5 linked regions of the Macaca mulatta genome follow. The protein of the gene in region 2 purifies or fractionates together with the protein of the main gene of each other region. This does not show direct contact. Links are inferred from orthologs where the notes say so. Each region holds a gene or a part of one and is shown on either strand. Other genes may lie near its edges.

The links. The genes of interacting proteins can lie anywhere in the genome.
Region 1: the proteins of FOXO1 (region 2) and ATG7 purify together in Homo sapiens (affinity purification with western blotting; 4 studies listed by BioGRID). This does not show direct contact. The link is inferred for Macaca mulatta from reciprocal best matches to the Homo sapiens genes FOXO1 and ATG7.
Region 3: the proteins of FOXO1 (region 2) and SKP2 purify together in Homo sapiens (affinity purification with western blotting; 4 studies listed by BioGRID). This does not show direct contact. The link is inferred for Macaca mulatta from reciprocal best matches to the Homo sapiens genes FOXO1 and SKP2.
Region 4: the proteins of FOXO1 (region 2) and SIRT1 purify together in Homo sapiens (affinity purification with western blotting; 5 studies listed by BioGRID and IntAct, with this or other methods). This does not show direct contact. The link is inferred for Macaca mulatta from reciprocal best matches to the Homo sapiens genes FOXO1 and SIRT1.
Region 5: the proteins of FOXO1 (region 2) and SIRT2 purify together in Homo sapiens (affinity purification with western blotting; 3 studies listed by BioGRID). This does not show direct contact. The link is inferred for Macaca mulatta from reciprocal best matches to the Homo sapiens genes FOXO1 and SIRT2.

What each region holds. Positions count from the first base shown.
Region 1 is NC_133407.1:150,124,902-150,129,169, reverse strand, and holds the start of ATG7 (ubiquitin-like modifier-activating enzyme ATG7), read right to left. Parts: upstream 2,801-4,268; 5' UTR 2,726-2,800; exon of another isoform or gene 1-2,725. UniProt on the Homo sapiens protein: E1-like activating enzyme involved in the 2 ubiquitin-like systems required for cytoplasm to vacuole transport (Cvt) and autophagy.
Region 2 is NC_133422.1:20,126,810-20,130,830, forward strand, and holds the start of FOXO1 (forkhead box protein O1), read right to left. Parts: upstream 2,801-4,021; 5' UTR 2,368-2,800; coding exon 1,738-2,367; intron 1-1,737. UniProt on the Homo sapiens protein: Transcription factor that is the main target of insulin signaling and regulates metabolic homeostasis in response to oxidative stress.
Region 3 is NC_133411.1:37,226,499-37,230,523, forward strand, and holds the start of SKP2 (S-phase kinase-associated protein 2), read left to right. Parts: upstream 1-1,225; 5' UTR 1,226-1,423; coding exon 1,424-1,431; intron 1,432-1,932; coding exon 1,933-2,204; intron 2,205-4,025. UniProt on the Homo sapiens protein: Substrate recognition component of a SCF (SKP1-CUL1-F-box protein) E3 ubiquitin-protein ligase complex which mediates the ubiquitination and subsequent proteasomal degradation of target proteins involved in cell cycle progression, signal transduction and transcription.
Region 4 is NC_133414.1:81,881,658-81,885,945, reverse strand, and holds the start of SIRT1 (NAD-dependent protein deacetylase sirtuin-1), read left to right. Parts: upstream 1-1,488; 5' UTR 1,489-1,554; coding exon 1,555-1,972; intron 1,973-4,288. UniProt on the Homo sapiens protein: NAD-dependent protein deacetylase that links transcriptional regulation directly to intracellular energetics and participates in the coordination of several separated cellular functions such as cell cycle, response to DNA damage, metabolism, apoptosis and autophagy.
Region 5 is NC_133424.1:49,992,568-49,996,716, reverse strand, and holds the start of SIRT2 (NAD-dependent protein deacetylase sirtuin-2), read left to right. Parts: upstream 1-1,349; 5' UTR 1,350-1,488; coding exon 1,489-1,504; intron 1,505-2,091; exon of another isoform or gene 2,092-2,216; intron 2,217-2,583; coding exon 2,584-2,630; intron 2,631-4,149. Other genes in the region: NFKBIB (NF-kappa-B inhibitor beta), read right to left, coding at 799-977. UniProt on the Homo sapiens protein: NAD-dependent protein deacetylase, which deacetylates internal lysines on histone and alpha-tubulin as well as many other proteins such as key transcription factors.

The DNA of each region.
Region 1 (4,268 bases), on a different chromosome or scaffold from region 2:
TTACCAAAGTCCAGCAAATACCACCTCCTTAATCTCTCAACTCCTCCCACCTCTCTCCATCTCCACTGTCACTGCCTTCATCCAGATCTTCATCCTGATATCTGGATCACTGCAACTGTACCCAACTGGTCCCCTGCTTGTCTTCTTCTGTCCAGTGTAACCACCACATTGCTGCCTGGGTAATTTAAAACATGAGAGGATGTCCCACCTGTTTTAAAATCTTCAGTGTCCTGCTCTCCACCCCCGCCCCCACATTTTAGAGTCCAAACTTCTAGGCCTGGCAATATTAATGACTACTGTTTATTATTTATCATCTACCAGTGCCAAGTGAGTAATATATCACCTCATTCAGTTTTTATTTCCCCTTCATAGAGATGAGGAAACTGAAGCTTAGAAAGGAAGTGACTTTCTGTGCCCAGGGTCACAAAACTAGTTCAGTGGCAATGCGAATACTGGCAGGCAGCTATCTTGGATCCCAAAGTCTATGTGCTCTTAACATGCTACTGTCCACAGCGTCCTTCACAATGTGGCCAGTGCTTACCTTTCCAGTCACCTCTCATCCTACACCTCCACACTGCCACTCCAGTGAACCACAAGCAGGCCATGCATTCTCACCTCTAGCCCTTTGCTCATACCACTTCGAACCACTCTTCACCTGTAAAATCTTATTCATCCTTTAGGTCTTGGCTAAAGCAGCACTTCCTCACTGAAACCTTTTTTGATGAGTCAGCCTGACTTATGAGTACCCTAAGTTATCCTCTACCAAACCTCCGTAATAGCTCCATACCATACCGTTGCTATCTCCTTGACTTAAAAAAAGGTAAACTCTTTGGGGACAGGGATGTGTATCTTACTCATTTTTGTATTCCCAGCTTGCAGTGCAGTGCCAGACACACAGCTGAAGCTCAATAAATGTTTATTCTCTATAATGAGATGCTGGCTGGGAACAGAAAAGGGAACCTATGGTTGAATAATGGAAAGTCCAGTACTCAGCTCTTAAAGGATTTCAAAATCATGTCACATGAGGGCAGGAAGGAGCTGGCCAAGATAAACGGAAGGGGAAGGGGAGATGTTCTAAGCAGCAGAAGCAAAGGGCTATAGGTGAGACACACCTGCAAGCAGCTTAACAAGACTGGAGCAGCGTTGGGGGATGGGAGAGCAGTTCAGCAACATGAGCCATTCCAAGACTGGCCTTTTTTTTATTCAAGTGTTAGGTCATTTCTTCAGGGAAGCTATCCCTGACCAGCTAGCTTTTATGCTTCCCCCAATTACTCTCCATCCCATGACCCTGTTTCTTTTTGTAGTACGTTTCAGAATCTGAAACACCTACCAACCCTCATTGACAATGCCGCCACCGCTGGCACCACCACTATTATTAGAAGGTGCCATGAAACAGGGTTCTTTTTCATCTTATTTTACTGATAGATCACCAGTGCCCACAATAATGCCAGGCAATAACAGGCAAATACGTGTTTCATTCATTCATCCAACAAATATGTATTGAGCATATATAAAATGCTAGGCATTGCTCTATATGCTGGGGATATAACAAAACACGACAAAATTTGCTGTCGTCGTTAAGTTTACTATCAGCAAATACGTTAAATATGCTTAGCCTAGAGAAGAAAAAGTGAGAGGAAGACGACAAACTAGCAGCTTTCAATGATGTATAGGGCAATTAAATGCAGGGATGATTCCAAGAGCCTAAAGAAGGAACAGTGAGCTAAGACTACTGAGTAGCTGCTTTCAGCTCAACCTAAGACTCAGAACTGGGGAAGGACCAAACAGGAGCAACCAGAAGTAGAAAGCTTTCTGTCACTGAAGATATCTGGCCAGTGGGCAGAGGTGTCAGAGAAAAAAATCTAAGTAGACAATGAAAAAGGGAGCCTGGGATCCACAGGTCCCAAACTGGCAGCCACAGATATGACTGGTTACAGCTGAACAGCGTTTTGTAAAAATTGAGTTGCCAATGTTTTTAAAAAACAGAATTACTTGCCAATTTTTTAAAAATGGCATCAGTCGCCAGTGTTTAAAAATCAGGAAATTGCACGCACGTGCACACACACACAGTTTGGCTTTTACTTCTCCAACATCATGCACGTTAGTACTGTACTTATAAAATTCATTTCGGTAAAATTAAAAGTTTGACTCTATTTCTGACAAATGTTCTAACACCTGCATTTACCTTACCGGATTGATTCTTATTGTGCATTATTTTTTAACCCCGTAACCAAGGAATCGAGAATCTTCTTTCTCAGAAAGTAAACTTATTTAACCTCCTCACTTAACAAATGACGGAGTATCATTCCCATTTTACAGATGAGGAAAAAGCAGCTTAAAAGAGGAAGGAACGTGCCAGAGACAGCAAAGCCAGACACAGCCAGGCTAGGAATCCAAATGTCCTATCTCCCGTGGTCCAACACTGAAGATTCTGAGCATTGCCTACCAAGAAGACAGGAGGGGCTAACTTAGGAAATCAGCACGAGCTTCCTAGTCAGAAGACCCCGGACTGAACCAGTCTGAGGGGACGCGGCTACAGACGAAGGGCGCCCGCCGTAATCAGTGAGTCCCTGGAGGAGGAAGGACCACCCAGAAGCTGGCAGAGGAAGACCCTGAGACCTGCTGTGACCCTCGCCCTCCCTGGAGAGCTCGCCCCTTGACTCCAGGCTTCCAAAACCGGCCCAGCAAGACCCCACTACACCCTCGCTCGCCGCTGCTCACTTACCGCCGCTCAACTTCCGGCAACCACAGCTTTCTCTGAGGCGCGCGCCCCGATGACGCAACGCGGCCCTGCCCGCGCCTGCCACCAGGAAGCGGCGCGCGTGCGCAGAGGACCAGAGGCAAGCCGGAGAAATGCGCCCCTAGCACCAGGCTAAGTGGGAGGAACTTGAGCCGTGGGGAGGGCGGGGCATCAGGGGAAGGCGATGGAGAGTGTCTCCCTCACCAGGTGTCGGATCGTCTACATTCCCTTCGGGCGTTTAAGAAAGTGCCCCACGTTCTCTCTTTTGATTTCAGAGGATAACAGGAATGATCACCATGGCCATTCTCCAGGAGAGGCGGCATCAAACGCAACACAGGGACCATGAGGGTGGCAGGTGTGGAGAGCCAGGAGATGAGAATTTTAGTAGGAAAAGGCCGGTAAACGTCGACAGTGACCAACTTGCCTTTTCTAAACCAGCCATCATTTTCATAGCTCCTCACTGTAAGTGAGATGAAGTTATTCCCTCTCAGTACTTGTTGGTTACATACTATGCGCGTGCGAAGCACTGGACAGGTGTTGAAGATACAGCAGTGATTATGACAAGTTTCTCTATCTGGCCTGTAAGGCCTTTCACAAGTTAACTTTGATATACCACTCTAGACTCATAATCAAGAACGATGACTGCTGTTAATTTACTAGCCACCATATGTTCAGGGTTTTACGTCTCTAATCCTCACAAGAGTCCTGAAAGGTATCGCCAAGTTACATATGAAGAACAGAATCTAAGAAAAGTTAGGTGGCTTGCTGAAAGTTAAAGGGCTTTTGGGCCAGGAACATAATCTGAAGTCTGTTTGATTCTGGCAAATAAGAAAACAAATCCAGACTAATAAGGATACTTATTAGAAAGGATTACTGCAAGAAATGGGAGAGGTAGGAGAGAAGGAACTGTGCAATAGCAGAGGGAGACTATTGCAATAGAGAGATCACTCTGACCAAAAAATCCGCAGATGTTTCAATAGTTAGGAAAAAAGAGGGTTCCCCCACCCCCAACACTCCCCAAAGGCAGGTAAACAACGCTAGAAACAACCGAATATGGAAAGTGGGATGAAGAGGTGGCTTGATCAGATATTAGATCAGAGAATGTTTTATCTTGAGACCAACCTATTCTCAGGAGGGGTTGTATGCTAGCGCAAGCTGAGAGTGGGTTAAAGTAAGCAGCCTGGGGAAAGGAAAGAAGCTTAACCCAAGTTTGGTTCATAAGCATTTTTTCCATCTGGTCAATGGAGACAAGCAGCTCTGTAATCATTTATGAGGCAAAGAATGGGAATTCAGAAGGACTGTGTTTGACCTTGCCACAGTAAACAAGGGAGGCAACCATGAGTCATTTAAGTGACATGAGAATGGGTATTTCTTTGTAGTGAACACTTTCTGAAGCACAAAAAGGTTAAGAAAGATTTCTTTTTTTCTCTTTTTTTTTTTTTTTTTTTGTGACAGGGTCTCCCTCTGTCACCCAGGATGGAGTACAGTGGAGTGATCATAGCTCACTGCAGACTCAACCTCCTGAGCT
Region 2 (4,021 bases):
GGGATGATACTGTATGTAAAATAACCTTGGTGTTAACAACTGCGCAGCTAAGACCAATCTTTTATTATGCTGTGGAGTCAATATGAGAGGCAAGGAAAGGTTTGTTTAAAAAGATGTTTCGCTCGGCCGGGCGCAGGGGCTCACGCCTGTAATCCCAGCACTTTGGGAGGCCGAGGCGGGCGGATCACGAGGTCAGGAGATCCAGAACATCCTGGCCAACACGGTGAAACTCCGTCTCTACTAAAAACACCAAAATTAGCTGGGCGTGGTGGCTCTTGCCTGTAATCCCAGCTAGTCGGGAGGCTGAGGCAGGAGAATCGCTTCAACCAGAGAGTCGGAAGTTGCAATGAGCCGAGATCGCGCCACGGTACTCCAGCCTGGCGACAGAACGAGACTCCGTCTCAGAGCGGGGATGAAAAAAAAAAAAAAAAAAAAAAAGGTGTTTAGCTCAACTAGACAGCCTTTACAGCAATTCCGCCACCGGTGACAGTGAGAAACTGTCAGCTTGGGGAGGCCGCGCGGCGACTGGACCCCGCCCCCGGGAAGCCTCCCCGGGGCCGAGGCCACCCCCCCGCCCCGGGCCTTCTCCTCGGAGTCGGGAAATGCCTGCCCCCACGCTAAGTCTCTACTGGCCACTCTCTATAAGGCAAAAATGGCAAAAATCCTCATTTGAGGCATCGCTCCCTCGACGCCCATCGCCACTCCGACTCCCTCAAAAAATTGGTCGCAAAGCCCCCCGCCTGGTCCCTCATCTGGACCTCCATTCTCAAGAACAGGGTGGCAAGGCAGGAAAAGACGCACACTTCCCAGCCCCCGGCCCCCGAGGGCAGCCTCTGTGTTTCTCAATAAAGCCTCCTACCAGGGGCAAGACCAAGTTCGGGCGCTTCCCCTCGTGGAGAAACGCTGGCCCCACGGCTCCCGGCCCGGACGCGCTGGCCCTTTAAAGGCGCGGGCTTCCTGCGCCCGGGGCCCCTCCCACGCCATCGCCACCGCCCGCGCCCGCCCCCGCCGAGGGTCACACTTGAACTTTAGCTCGCCCAGCGCAGCCAGGCGCCGGCGCTCCGCAGGCGGTGGCCGCCCCTTCGCACGTGTCGGAGGCACCACCTCGGGCTCGGGACGCCCGGCCCCCGGCACTCGAGGCCACTCCAGAGAAAACCAAACAAAGCAAAATGCGCACCGCCTCCAGAAACTGCCCGGCTGGCCCTGCACCGTCCACGGCCGGTCGCGCCCTGCCTGTCCCCTCCACCTGCAGCCCGGTCCCGGGACAGGGAGAGTCCGGGGCCCCTCGCCGCGCCCTCCCCCGCCGCGCCCGGCGGAAACAGCTCCGCAGCGCGGCCGGAGAGGACCTGCCCTCCCCCCGCGGAGGTCCGGGAGGGAAGGGGCAGTCGAAGCAGTCAGCGCGGGCCGGGGGAGTGCCCCTCCCAGCGAACCCGTTTCTCCTTTCACTGGCAAACTTTTCGGCCGCTGATATCCACTTCTTGGCGCACTTTCTTTACTTAGTTCCTCGACGAGCCCCTTTTCGCGTCCCACGCGAACTCTTGACTGGCGCGCGCGCACACCTACTGCCGTCCCCGACCGGACCTGGGCGAGGTCACCGCGACCACCGCTTCTCGCCCGCCCTCCTGGGAACGCGCTGCCCTCCTGGCCCGCACCTTCAGGCCGAGCAAACCTGCACAGCTGCGCCCTCGCCTGACCCACCGCGCCCCCAAGGTCCGGCCGCGCGCCGAGACCGCTCACCTTCCAGCCCGCCGAGCTGTTGCTGTCACCCTTATCCTTGAAGTAGGGCACGCTCTTGACCATCCACTCGTAGATCTGCGACAGCGTCAGCCGCTTCTCCGCCGAGCTCTCGATGGCCTTGGTGATGAGGTCAGCGTAGGACAGGTTGCCCCACGCGTTGCGGCGGGACGAGCTGCTCTTGCGCGGCTGCCCCGCGAGAGGCCCAGCGGCAGCGGGGGGCACTGGCGGGTGCTGCGACAGCGGCCCGGGCGGCGGGGGCTGCGGCGGCGCTGGGTGCAGGCAGCCCGCCTCCGGGCCTTGGAAGTCCCCGCACAGTCCCCCGGTGGCGGCCGCGGCGGCCGCCGCCGCCACCGCCGCCGCCACGGAGCCGGGTGCTTGCGGAAAGTCCTCGCTCTCCTCCAGCAAGCTCAGGTTGCTCATGAAGTCGGCGCTGACAGCGGCAGCCGAGGCCGAGGGCAGGCCCGCCGCGGCGTCGGGGTTGGCAGCCGCGCCGCCCGACGGCGCCGGGCTGGAGGTGGCCGAGTTGGACTGGCTAAACTCCGGCCTGGGCAGCGGCCAGGTGCACGAGCGCGGCCGGGGCAGCGGCTCGAAGTCCGGGTCGATCTCCACCACCTGAGGCGCTTCGGCCATGGTGACCCCCGCCCCTCCCCCAGCCGCGGGAGAGCCAAGAAGGGGAGAACGCAGCACGGGGGCCGGAGGGGGAGGGGGCGCGAAGAGACGGTCCGAGATTTGGGGGAACGAAGCCGGTGCGGCGAGCGGACGGAAACTGGGAGGAAAGCGCGGCGGAGTGCAAGCGCGAGCCCAGAACTTAACTTCGCCGGGCCATCCACATCGAGGCTCCTCAGGGTCCGCCGCACGGACTGGACGGCTGGCCAGAGCCGCCGGGCCGGGGCAGAGCCTGCGCCGCGCTCCAGCTGACAGGGCCGCGGACGGAAGGACAGACGGATGCCGCGGGCCGCTCGCTCTCCCCGGCTGCGCGCCCGCTGCGCTGCTGCCTGTTGAATGTGGCGGCGGCAGCAGCGGCTGCTGCGACTACTAGGCCGCCCGACTTACGGGATCTGCCGCCGCTCCCCGCCCGCGCCGGCGCGCGCGCCGGCCCGCCCCTGACCGACAGCCCGCGCGGCCAATGGGCATGCGGCACCGCCGCCTGGGCAGCCAGTGGGCGCCGGGCTGGGCGGGGCCCGGTTTTCCACGGGGAGGCGGCGGTGGGCTGGTGGGGGGTAGTAGGGTGTTTTTCTCTTTCACACACTCATCTCCTTTTTTTTTTTTTTTTTTTTGGATCTCTATTATTTTCTGGTAATTCTCGAGTGTTTCTGTGATTCTCTCGCCTTCTCAGTGTTTTGATTGCTAGGAAGCAAAGCAGCGTGGAGGCGGCGGCGACACTTTGTTTACTACGGAGGAGCAGAGCCGAGTACTCTGGAAGCCCGGGTGGGAGGAGGCGCTCGCTGCGCCTTGACCTCTGCTGCGGGCCCAGCCCGGCGGGCGGACAGGGCAGGGGGCCGGGGACCCGGGGCGCGGGGTGGGTGGGTGGAGGCGGCCGCGCGGAATTCTACTCAATCGTTCCCTCCTGGCTCCACCCACGATGTCTTTGCTAAACGACGTGGGGAATCGGTGGATTTTGTTTTGGTTTAGTGTTTTCTTTCGCTGCGATCTGTCAAGTCCTCCGGCCCGCTCACGGGCTGCACACGACCACCGCCCCTGGCGCCGCGGGTCCTGCAGTCGAGTCCGCGCTGAGAGACCCTTCTCCGCGCCCGGTGCCCACCTGTCCGCACCCCCAGGCTCAACCTGTGCCATTCGGTCTAGCCAGAGGCGCGTCACCCAGCCGGGCAGCCCCCAACCGGATTCACTGTATTCTTGATCTTTTTTAAAAGGCTAGAAATGAGGAACAGGGGCCCCGGCGCGAGGAGGAGATTCTCCCGCCTCCCCGCACACACGGATCCAAAGGCACCCGCGACCGCATGCCCTCCGTGGGAACCTCTTCCCCTGGGCGGGAATCTCCCGCTTCGTCCACTGAGTCCAGGGCCGGCAGCGAAGGGCTCAGGAGCGCAGTTAGCGAGAACCAGGTCACTTTATTACTTACCCCTAATTAAATTTAACTGTTTGTTATTTCTTTTTTATTTACAACGGAAGTGATCGGGTGTTAAGTTAAAACGCAAGGGCGGGGGATAGGACCAAAGCCTTGGGGCGCAGCCTGCCCCATCCCCAAGTTCCTTGAGGCTACTTGCTGTGTGCGTCAACCAACCCCCCACCCACACCCCACCTTTCCTCGTCTGAGCTGCAGGTC
Region 3 (4,025 bases), on a different chromosome or scaffold from region 2:
CATACCTGGGCAAGGGAAGTTTAATTTCACTATAGAGTAAATCATTTTTTCAAGGAAACCAGAGGGCGTGTCATACAGCATCACTGAATATTCTAATATGAGATGAAGCTGTTATGCTTCCTTATGAACTTTATAAATCTTCATTTTTATGAAGCTTAGAATTCATCCCCCTTCCCTCTTCCACTGTTTTCCCGGGGTCACAGTTGTAGTATAGTTTGTCCAATGGATTTCGCATGGTCATTGTACCTGGAATATGTCACGCTCTCTACTCCAACCGCCCCCAAACTCTTCTCAGCAGAGATAGGCTTAAAGCAGCTTGCTTTTAGGCGGCGACGCAAACACACGTAGCCAGTTGAGCGACAGCAAGCAACCAAATGGCTTTGCTGGAGGCCCCCTGCGTTGCACGGGTAAAGCCCGTTGCAAAATACAGTCCTTTCATTTATTCCTCTGTTACTATTTATGAGACTTGTCAAGGCTGCAAGGGCATGCGCAGCCTTCCCACCACACAGGACCCGCTGGGGTCTCCGGCTCCCCTAAAATTAAACCACTGTCTTTCGTTCCGACTCATGTTTAGCTGTTGTGCGTATTTTACAGATAAAGGAGGGATCCTGTCCACAGACCCAATTCTAAGGGCCGCCTTCTCCCCCACGGAGGAAGAAGCTTCCTGGCAAAAGGACGAACAGGTGCGACGCCCGCATTTCGCAGCCTCTCACCTGGCCAGCGGGCTGGGCTACTGTCCCCACTCAGCAGCTAGGGACGTGGGCCCCGCGGCGGCGGCCACTTGGGGTCTGCCGGGTCCCCTCTCTTTCCGCCTGCGCTCGGCCTCGGACCCCACACTCAAAAGCGCCTCACGCGTTCCGCCTTAGGCTCACTGTCCGATCTCGCCAGACAGCGTCTGGATGGGACCGGGAAGCGGCGGCCGTCACAGCTGTTCAGGTTCTGGGATCCACGCTCAGAGACGACAGCGCTGGTGATCACCAGAAGGCCTGCCGGCTCCCGGGAAAGAAAAATCCGTCCACAGTCCAGCGGCTGACATTTCCCAGTCAGCCGTAGCACCGCCCGCTTCCGCCTCCCCGCCTACCCCATGGGCCGACCAGTCCCGCTCCCGCGGGGGGTTGTGGGTATCTGGAAGGCGGGTAAAGCTGCAAGGGAAGGAAGTTAGGGCGAGCCCGTCGGACTACGAAACGGGACGGAAACTACAATTCCCAGCAGGCCGTGGGGCCTCAGAGTGCGGCCGCGAAGCAAAGCGGGCTGTAGAGTCTTGCGCGCGCGGTGGGGATGGAACGTTGCTAGACTTAGCGGGTCTGGCTCCTGGGGGTCCGAGCAGCACGCTCGGAGCCGCCGCGCGCCAAATCGGGAATCCGGGAGGCGAGCAGCTCTGCAATTAATGCACGTATTTTAAACTCCCGAGCCTGCGGACGCTATGCACAGGTAAACGGATTCAAAAAGGGAAGAGCATGAATGGACCCTCTTAATAATTCTTTTAGGCCGCGAATATCGCTACTGGCTAATATTGTTAGTAATGCTGTTAAGTGAATGGTTGCTTAGCCCCTTCTTGGGGAAAGTGTGAATGGATGAATGCCTTAGTGCGGGGATCAGCGTGCGGTTTTATCTGGCTTCCTTAATTGGGCTTTTTTGCCACCGTTTTCAATCACTGTATGATTGCCCTGTCTCTCTCCTTGTCTGTTCCCTCCGCTGGGAGAAATTCTTGAGGCCTTCTGCAGGATCGTAAGTCAAAGAGCCTTCTCGATTTGTTCTTTTCATTTCTTCATTTTCTTGGTAACTCTCCGCGGGCACGTAAAAAAATGCGATTGTGTTAGCTGCTGTGAAGGTTTTCCACAATACATAAACTGCAGCTTCTTTAATGCCTTCCTTGGAATTATTTATGGGTGTGTTTTCGAAAGGAACCGGGGGTATTGTGCACTTCTGCAGGAAGCACCTTCAGGAGATTCCAGACCTGAGTAGCAACGTTGCCACCAGCTTCACGTGGGGATGGGATTCCAGCAAGACTTCTGAACTGCTGTCAGGCATGGGGGTCTCCGCCCTGGAGAAAGAGGAGCCCGACAGTGAGAACATCCCCCAGGAACTATTCTCAAACCTGGGCCACCCGGAGAGCCCCCCACGGAAACGGCTGAAGAGCAAAGGGAGTGAAAAAGACTTTGTGATTGTCCGCAGGCCTAAGCTAAATCGAGAGAACTTTCCAGGTAAGGATATGAGGGTAAAAATGTAAGTTATGCAAAGGGTGGATTTAGCTATGTTGTTGGGAAACCTTTGTTCAGGGATCTTTACCATGGGTTCCTTTTAAGATTGCCTAATTCTGAAGCTGTTTTTTCAACACAATAGGGCAAGTCGTCAAGTATGCAGGAATCTTGGTAGGTATATATGTGTGTGTGTATGTGTGTATATATATGTGTGTGTGTGTGCGTTCTGGTGCATAATCACCCTGAAAATTTTAACCCATGAGAAGACATTCCTGCCTTTTTCCTTAGAAGGGAATCTGTCTTCCTAAAGGCCAGCTCGGTGCCACCAATTAATAGAAACAAAGCAGTGGTCTTCTTGTAGGATTCTTTTGCTTTGTACCCCTGAGTGAGCTTTTTGTCTTAATCACTTAAGTTATTTATCAGTGGACTGCTGAAGTGAACATTCACCTAAGTGGGGGAGAATTATCTCCCCAGGCCCACTCCCACTCCCATATTATCTTCTCTGGTGTGTTCTGTCTCCATTACTGCTGACACTATCTGTTTAATCACCCAACCCAAAAACCTGAGAGTCAGTCCGATTCCCACCGCCCCCAACATCCACTCATTCATTGCATCTTTCTTCTCTGGTAACTATTTCTCAAGTTCTTATCTTCTCTTGCCTCAACTATTGGAGCAGATTCATAATTCCAACCTTCTCCCCAGATCTATCCCCTAGAACTAGAATGGATTGACTGAAAAACTATTTCTTCCCTCCTTAATAGCTCCCCATCCCCTAGTTTCTCAAGCAGGTGAATGAGTGCCTCCCAGAGTGAACCAGAACCCTGGAGTATGCAAAAGCCATAGGGTAAATAGGGCAATGACCTGGGGTTATCAGTTTTTCTTACTAGTAAGCTATTTAAAACAGTAATGCAGCAAATATTTGCTGAGCACATACCATGTGCTAGGCAGTGTTCCAGGTGCTGGAGATACACCAGTGGGCACAACATAAACATTTCTGGTCTCAGGGAGCATCCATTCTAGTGAGAGAAAACAATAAACACAATAACTATTTTTATATAGTATGTTAGAAGGTGATAAGTGCTATGGCTAAAAACAAAAATGGAACAAGCCAAGAGGGAATGCAGGTCCTGGGGTGGGAAGATAGAGTGCACTTTTAAACCAGGTATTGAGGGAAAGCCTCAACTGGACAGTGACCTTTAAGCAAAGACATAAAGGAGGCAAGGGAGTGTGCCATGCAGATATCATGGAGAAAAGAGCTCCAGGCAGAAGGAATAGCCAATGCAAAGACCCTGGTGCATAAATGTGACACATTTGTTCCAGGAACAGGGAAGCCATATTCTAAGAGTAGAATGAGCAAAGGAGAGAGTTGGGAGAGATCAGGCTGGAGGTAATGTTGAGCACAGTTGTGATGGGACCTGATTTAACCTTCTAAAAAGGACACACTGATGTGTTGAGACTCAACCGCAGGGGTGTCAAGGGTAGAAACTTAGGGTCTTTTTTAAATTTCATATTTTCAAGACAGAGTCTTGCTCTGTCGCCCAGGCTAGAGTGCAGTGGCATTCTCTTGGCTCACTGTCTTCACCTGGATTTGAGAGATTCTCCTGCCTCAGCCTCCTAAGTAACTGAGACTACAGGCATGCACCACCACGCCCAGCAATTGTTTTGTTTTTTGTAGAGTTGGGCGGCGGCGGGGGTGGGGGTGGTGGTGGTGGGATCTTACCATCTTGTCCAGGCGGGTCTCAAACTCCTGGACTCAGGCGATCCTCCAGCCTTGGCCTCCCAAAGTGCTGGGATTACAGGAATGAACCACCACACCTGGCCAAA
Region 4 (4,288 bases), on a different chromosome or scaffold from region 2:
CAAAGTGCTGGGATTACAGGCGTGAGCCACCGCATCCAGCTAGGTTTTCAGTCCCGCATGCATTAGCTATTTGTCCTAATGCTCTCCCTCCCCTTGTCCCCCACGCTCCCAAAGATGGGTTTAAGGCTTCTAGGACTAGAGATGATCACTTTCAGAAATGAATAGTGGTGACCAGATGAAATAAGACTTTTGGATGCAGATGGGACCTTAGTGATATATTTCCAACATTCTATTTTTAATTTTTTTAATTTTAAGGATGAAGAAACAGCTTTAAGTTGATTGCCTAAAGTCACGCAAGTAATTGATGCAGTATGGCCAGAACCCACGCTCGGCTTAAGGGACAGTGTACCATAAACTCATAGAGGTCCTTTAAACAGATAGAAAGGCTGTGCTCCAGGGAGATGCCATAACAAACACCGGCTCTAGATCTACCATGGGTTATATGGGTCCTCAGTTAAGGTTAGATATGGAGTCACAGTGTCCCAGAATTTCAGGGAGAGAGGAAAGTGGAAGGGCTTTCCACTAAGCCTTTTAAACTACTAGGTACCCCTGATTTTACATCTGGTTATCTCATTTAAATCTATGACCTTTTAAAGTACTTCATTATTACAATTTAAGACATGAGAAAAATTAACTTTAGAAAAGGTTAGATAGCTCATGCTAGAAAGGAAGGACTCCAAATTTTAACCAAGAGCAGATGTCCATGGAGGCCAAGCCATTTTCTTCCCGAGCTCTCCTCATACCGACCCAACAAACCCATTCTGCACGTGAGAAAACTGAGGCCCAGAGGAGGGAATTCACACACGTTTGAAGCCAATCTGGGGCCAGAAAGTAGATCGGCTGAACTCCAAACCTCCAAGTCAAAGGTCTTCCCAGGATGTGACAATCTATACCACCCTACAAGTGATGGAGAGAGGAGAAAAAGCAACTAAGGAGAGAAGCTAGGAGCAGAAAAAGGAGCTAAAGAGGAGCTGTCAGAACGGTGTGAGGAGGGTGGGAAGGGAGCCTTCTCCTTTTGCCTCTATTCCTACCCATTAACAAAACAGAACGACTATCCAGCGTATTTCAGGGAGCTAAGTCCTTAGCCAGCTTCAGCTGTGTTTCAACCCTTAGCTAAAGCTAGACAACGCTAAGGCAGGCCAGGTGTACACTTCAGGTAGAAGTGGAAATTCCCAGGGCGGACCAAAACTTGAGCTGTTCAGGCGGTAGTGATTTGAGGTCGGTTTCAAAGAGAAGTTCAAAAAGCGGCCGAGGGGCGAATTTGGTTGCACTACACGCCCGCCACAAAGGCGCAGGGCCGCGGCCGCCGGGGCCGAGCGTGCTTCCAGCCCAGGCGGAGGGGTAGATGCAACAGCCTCCGCCCGTCACGTGACCCGTAGTGTTGTGGTCTGGCCCGCGTGGGTGGCGGGAGCGCCGAGGGGGCGGGGGCGGCGATGGGGCGGGTCACGTGACGGGGTTTAAATCTCCCGCAGCCGGAGCCGCGGGGGCGCCAGTGCCGCGCGTCGAGCGGGAGCAGAGGAGGCGAGGGAGGAGGGCCAGAGAGGCAGTTGGAAGATGGCGGACGAGGCGGCCCTCGCCCTTCAGCCCGGCGGCTCCCCCTCGGCGGCGGGGGCCGAGAGGGAGGCCGGGTCGCCCCCCGCCGGGGAGCCGCTCCGCAAGAGGCCGCGGAGAGATGGTCCTGGCCTCGAGCGGAGCCCGGGCGAGCCCGGTGGGGCAGCCCCAGAGCGTGAGGTGCCGGCGGCCGGGGGCTGCCCGGTTGCGGCGGCGGCGCTGTGGCGGGAGGCAGAGGCGGCGGCGGCGGGCGGGGAGCAAGAGGCCCAGGCGACTGCGGCGGCTGGGGAAGGAGACAATGGGCCGGGCCTGCAGGGCCCATCTCGGGAGCCACCGCTGGCCGACAGCTTCTACGACGAAGACGACGACGACGAGGGCGAGGAGGAGGAAGAGGCGGCGGCGGCGGCGATTGGGTACCGAGGTGCGCAGGGTGCGGGCGGCCGGAACTGCGCATCTCCTCCTCCCTTTCCCCGGGCTCCTACTGGTGTGAGGTTGAGGGCGGCCGGCGACTCGGGGCAGGCTCTGCGGCGTTCCCCTCCCCACCACGGCCCTTCGCTCAGCTGCGCTCCTCCGGGGCTGCCGTTCCTGCTGCGCGAGCTGCTGGTGGATTTGCTCTTTTCCTCCGTCCGTGACCCGCCTGGGCGGCCTTGCGCTTTGCGCAGCAGCCAGGTCGGGAGACTCTCGCAGTCACTTTAAAATAAGTTTCTCTCACCCTCTTACTCTTTTAGCATATTGGTTTTGTTAGAGCTTTTTTTTTTTCCTTTCCTTTTTCTTCTTTATTTTTCATTTGCTTTTCTTCACCCACCAACACACTTAAGTCTGCAACTTTTTGGCTGTCCCGTTGGTCGGCGTTTTCAATTGCTTTTTGTAAGCTGACACCTGTGCAGTTTGCTGTTTTTTTTTTGAAGGTCTATATTTTTATGCCTGAAGTTACAATTTTTAAAAGAGGAAAGCTGTTTCTGTAGTCACAGCCTGCAAAATTTAAAGAACATGGCTGTTTCTGAAGATATTAAAATTCTGTAATGCAGTTAGAAGTAGGCATGGGAGAGTGATAGTACTTTTAGAGCAGTTCATATTTTATTCTAATTTTGCTCTTGTACGGTAACGGTGTTTGGGCCAAGCGTACCTTTTTGTACGTAGTAATGATACACACGTTTAACACTTCTAGCATAATGAAGCAGATATGTTGCAATTGTCATGTTCTTCAAGGTTTTTTGTTTTTTGTTTTGTTTTGAGACAGAGTCTCTCTCTGTCGCTAGGCTGAAGTGCAGTGGCGCGATCTCGGCTCACCGCAACCTCCGCCTGTCCCGTTCAAGCTATTCTCCTGCTTCAGCCTCCCGAGTAGCTGGGACTACAGGCACCCGCCACCACGCCCAGCTAATTTTTGTATTTTTAGCAGAGACAGGATTTCACCATGTTGGCCAGGATAGTCTCGATTTCTTGACTTCGTGATTCGCCCGCATCGGCCTCCCAAAGTGCTGGGATTACCGGCGTGAGCCACCGTGCCCCGTCAGGTTTCATATTTTTGTTTCTCTCAAGGAGGAGTTTCTCTCCTTGATATGTGTTCGTCTTTATCAATACTTGGGTCAGGCCGGGCGCGGTGGCTCTTTCGTGTAACCCCAGCACTTTGGGAGGCCAAAGCGGGAGGATTTCTTGAGCCTAGGAGTTTTAGACTAGCCTGGGCAACATAGCGAGACCTCCTCTCTACTAAAAATTGAAAAACCCGGACGTGGTGTCGCACAGCTGCTGTAGTCCCAGCTACTGAGGTGGGAGGATTGCCCCCGAGTTTGAGGTTGCAGTGAGCTGTGATCGCGCCACTGCACTCCAGGATGGGCGACAGAGTGAGACCTCGTCTCAAAAAAAAAGTAGTATATGCTTTTAGGGACTGGTTTAGTAAAGAGACCCTGATTTCAAGCAACACCGTTGAATATTAATTTATTATTTATCTAATAATAATAGTGTTATTGATACTGTTTAATAGAAGAAACAATGCAGAGATACCTGTTTAGTATTATGTGAGAGTTTAACGTGCGCATTGCCAAGGTTATATTTGAATGACATTTTTGTGTAAATGCCCATTTATTACACGTTTCACTAACGCTGTTGTTTGTGATTGATACATTCTAGCTAGATTATTTTCTTTCTTTTTTTTTTTTAAAGACGGGGTTTCGCTAAGCTGTAGTACAATGGCGCGATCTCAGCTCACCTCTCAGCCCACTGCAACCTCCGCCTCCCGGGTTCAAGCCATTCTAGTGCCGCAGCCTCCTCAGTAGTTGGAATTACAGGCATGAGCCACCATGCCTGGCTACTTTTTGTATTATTGGTAGAGATGGGGGTTTCTCCATATTGGTCAGGCTGGTCTTGAACTCCCGACCTCAGGTGATCCACCTGCCCTGGCCTCCCAGAGCTCTGCAATTACAGGCATGAGTCACCGCGCCCGGCTATCTTTTTCTGTTTTTTTTTTTTTTTTTTTTTTTTTTTTTGAGACGGAGTCTCACTCTGTCGCCCAGGCTGGAGTGCAGTGGCCGAATCTCAGCTCACTCCAAGCTCCGCCTCCCAGGTTTACGCCATTCTCCTGCCTCAGCCTCCCGAGTAGCTGGGACTACAGGCGCCCGCCACCTCGCCCGGCTAGTTTTTTGTAGTTTTTAGTAGAGACGGGGTTTCACCGTGTTAGCCAGGATGGTCTCGATCTCCTGACCTCGTGATCCGCCCGTCTCGGCCTCCCAAAGTGCTGGGA
Region 5 (4,149 bases), on a different chromosome or scaffold from region 2:
TACTACCTCTGACTTTATTTCCTTCTCTTACTTTCTATGTTTCTTTCTTTCTGCGTGTCTTTCTTTGTTTCTTCCTGTCTTTCTGTTTCTTTCCTTCCTTGCGGTCTTATCTGTTTATTTAGTTCCACTAAAATGTATGCTCCACAAGCGCTTAAGTTTTTGTCTGTTTTCTCCACTGCCTTTATCACTAGCACCTAAAACGGAGCCTGGAATGTTGTACTGTGTAAAGAATATTTGTTTAACAGATGGATCCTTGGTCTCGTGGAGCTTACATTCTTTTTTTCTATTTTCCTTTTTTTTTTTTTTTTACTTTAATTAGGAATTCAACATAGAAGAGCTTACATTCTCTCTCTTTGAATTTAAGATTTGAAGAACACTGCTCAGATGACAGGATCTTAGAGTAAGGGACCAAGCATTAATTTTGGAAATCAAACTTTAAGGCTCAAATCAGGAACTAAGAATCAAAGATCATATTTGGAGGTTAGAAGTCAGGAGAAGCCACAGTTCTAACAAAAGTCTCAGGACTGGAGTCAGGTTTGGGTATCAGTGGATACAACGTGGATTCCAGGAGCTGAGAATCATAGTTCAGGAAAAGGTCAGAAATGATTGGGTGAGGATCATAGCTGGAAAGAAGATTGGTTTTGTTAAAAGTTAGGACTCGGGGGTTAGAGGTCAGGAAGTTCAGCATCGGAAGTCAGATTTAGGAGTGTGAGGTTAGGAAGCCTCAGGGATCAGACACTAATGGGGAATCAGATGCCGGGTCCTAAGGCTCCGTTTGGCAGCCTAAAGTTCACTCACGTGTCCCCATCCTCAGTGACGTAGCCGAAGACGAGGGGAGCCCACGACAGCCCCGGGCCCAGCTCCGCGCCCAATCCCGGTCCTCCGGGGGCCGCTGCGTCCGGACCCAGGGAGCCGAGGCCGCTGTCGCACCATTCATCTGCGTCGGCAGCTTTTCCCAAGCACGCGACCCCAGCCATGGCCCCCGCCACCTCAGGGGCCCCTCGCAGTGGCCCGCCTGTAGCTGGGCTTTGCCGGGAGTTCTGGCGCTTCCGCCCTGCGGGAAATTCCCCACCACGCCCCCTGATTCATCCAATGATAATATGCTGAATCGCTCACACCCCGCCCCCGTGCCGCATGCTGACCAATCAGAGTATTCGAGAGGACTACGACTCTCTAGCCGTTCCCACATTTTCCGGGCGCCCTTTACCAACATGGCTGCTGACGCCATGACTTCTGGGACTCGTAGTCCGGTCCTCGCGCGCTTTCTTACCTAACTGGGGCGCTCCGGGTGTCGTAGGAAAGCGCGTCTGCGGCCGCAATGTCTGCTGGGAGTTGTAGTTCAGTGCCCTATCCCGGCCACTCCCATTTCTGGTGCCGTCACGGGACAGAGCAGTCGGTGACAGGACAGAGCCGTCGGTGACGGGACACAGTGGTCGGTGACGGGACAGAGCGGTCGGTGACAGCCTCGAGGGCTTCAGCACCGCGCCCATGGCAGAGCCGGACCGTGAGTCGGGAATCCGGGTGGGAGGGTCGGGCCGCGCCGGGGCCTGATTGAAGGCTGCAGGCCCCGGGGCCCAAGGGCGGCCGCAGTGGGGCGGGAAGTAGGGAGCGCCTCGGGGAGTGGGGTTCTGAGGGTTGTTGCTAAGCGATCTATATCGCCAGGCTGGTGGGTTTCTGGGTCGCAGGGTGTTCAGGGTTCGTTTACCACATCCACTTGCCAAGTTGCCAATGATCGCGTGTTTCTCACACCTTGGTTGCTAAGGACCCTCGCTGCAAAGAACATAAGTTGCCCCGGTCCCGGCTGCTAAGGGTACCTGATTGTTAGAGGCAACCAGAGGATGCTGAGGGACCCCTGCTGTCCCCTTCTATGGCTTCCCCTTGTTCCGCGCCTCTCCTAAACCTACCGCCTCCACTGCACCACTGCACCTCCCTCCTAAACCTGCCTCCCAGCCAAAGCGTCCCTTCCCTTCTCTCTTCCTTTCTAAACTTCCCTCTGCCTTGTAAATCTAACCCTTCCCGCACACACACTGACACACTGTCGTGTCCTTCCTAACTCCTCCTGAGTGTTCCTTCATGCCCTGAATCCCTTAGGTAGGAGGAGGAGGATCGCTTGAGCCCAGGAGTTTGAGGCTGCAGTGAGCTATGATCGCACCATTGCACTCCAGCCTGGGTGACATGAGCGAGACCCTTTCTCTAAAAAGTAAAAAAGAAAGAAAGTAAGTCAGGGCCAGACACAATGGCTCATGCTTGTAACCCCAGTACTTTGAGAGGCCAAGGTGGTTGGATCGCTTGAGCCCAGGAGTTCAAGATCAGCCTGGGCAAAAGCCCCTACTTTCTCCCTCTCCTTCTAAATCTTCCTCTCCAGCCTCTCTGCCCCTCACTAATCACCTCTCCTGGCATCACTTTGCATGCTGATAAGATTTTTTCTCCGCCCCCTCCCTCCCCGTGCTCCATTTTTACCACCATCCCATCCCAGTGTAACTCGGTTGGTGGGTGTTCTGGCCCCTCACTGACCATTTGAATCCCTTTATTCCCCACTTAATCATTCTCCCCACTGTAACCACCTCTGCTCCCCTCCCTCAGCCTCTCACCCTCTGGAGACCCAGGCAGGGAAGGTGCAGGAGGCTCAGGTGAGATGGGCGAAAGGGTGGAGGGGAGGAGAGAGATGGACTTGTTCCACAGCCCGCAGGGGGGGAGGTGGCAAAGGGGAGACAGTCACCCCACGGCCCTCGGCTCATTGCCCCAATCCCTCACACCACCCAGTGCAGCTTTCTGGGGAAAGGCGGATTCTGGGGATTGTCAGAGAAGCGTTTCCAGCCTCAAGTCCAGGCCTGCCCTCCCAAACTTTCCTCCTTCCTCGCCACTGCCTGCCATCCCTTCTGAACCAAATTTGTCCTGGGCCTGGAAGAGACAGGTATCCCATTTGGTCTTGGAACGCACAGATCTCGTGGACAAGTGATGGGAAAAAATTATCTCACAGTGTGATGATAAAAGTAACTCAGGGGGCCAGGTGCAGTGGCTTATGCCCGTAATTCCAATAACTCAGGAGGCTGAGGCGTGAGGATCGCTTGAGCCCAGGAGTTTGAGGCTGCAGTGAGCTATGATTGCATCGTTGCACTCCAGGGTAAAACAGCAAGACCCTTTCTCTAAAAAGTAAAAAAGAAAGAAAGTAACTCAGGCCAGACACAGTGGCTCATGCTTGTAATACCAGTACTTTGGGAGGCTGAGGTAGGAGGATCGCTTGAGCCTAGAAGTTCCAGACCAGTCTGGGCAACGTAGGGAGGCCCCAAAAAATCTAAAAGTTAGCCATGTGCAGTGGTACATGCCTGTAGTGCCAGCTACTCATGAGGCTGAGTTGGGGAAGGATTGCTTAAGCCCAGGAGTTTAAGGCCGTAGCATGCCATGATTGTGCCACTGCTCTCCAGCCTGGGCGACAGAGCAAGACACGGTCTCAAAAAAAAAAAAAAAAAAAAAAAAAGGAAGAAAAGTAAAGAAACTCAGGGCACTGTGGGAGCACAGAGAAAAACTTTCTGGGTCAAAGAAGATTCCAGCCAGGCCATTCCCTGGAGGAATCCACAGGCTGGTCTAGCTGTCAGACCAAGATACAGACACAGTATAAGTGAAGAGTGACTTAGAATTTTCTTAGACAAGGTGAGAAAAGGTGATCCACACGACAGGTATCGCTTGTGCAAAGACCTGGGGGCATGAAGGAGTGTGATGTGTTCCGTAACTGGGTGGCTGGTAGGGGTCAGCTCGTTATAGTCACGGTTAACATTTACTGATGGCTTACTCCAGCTGTGCACACTGTTTAGTGCCAAACTTGCCTCATCTCACTTCATCTTCCTGGCATCCCTGTGAAGAGAAATGCCTATCATGGCCATTTTACAGAGGCAGAATTTGAAACAGAGGTGTTAAGTCACTTGTCCCCTGTCCCTCGGCTAGAGGAGCAGGGAAAGGTTTGAGTCCCCCAGCACTGGGCACACCGCCTGCCAGAGGCTGCCAGGAGAGGTGGACAGGCAGTCTCACAGGAGTTTGAAGGCCCCCCATCAGCACCTCCAGCTCTCCCTTAGGCCAAGCTGCCGATACATGCTGGGCACAGGCCTTCCACACAGCCTCACTCTGTACAGCCTGCAAGAGTGCCAGCCCACC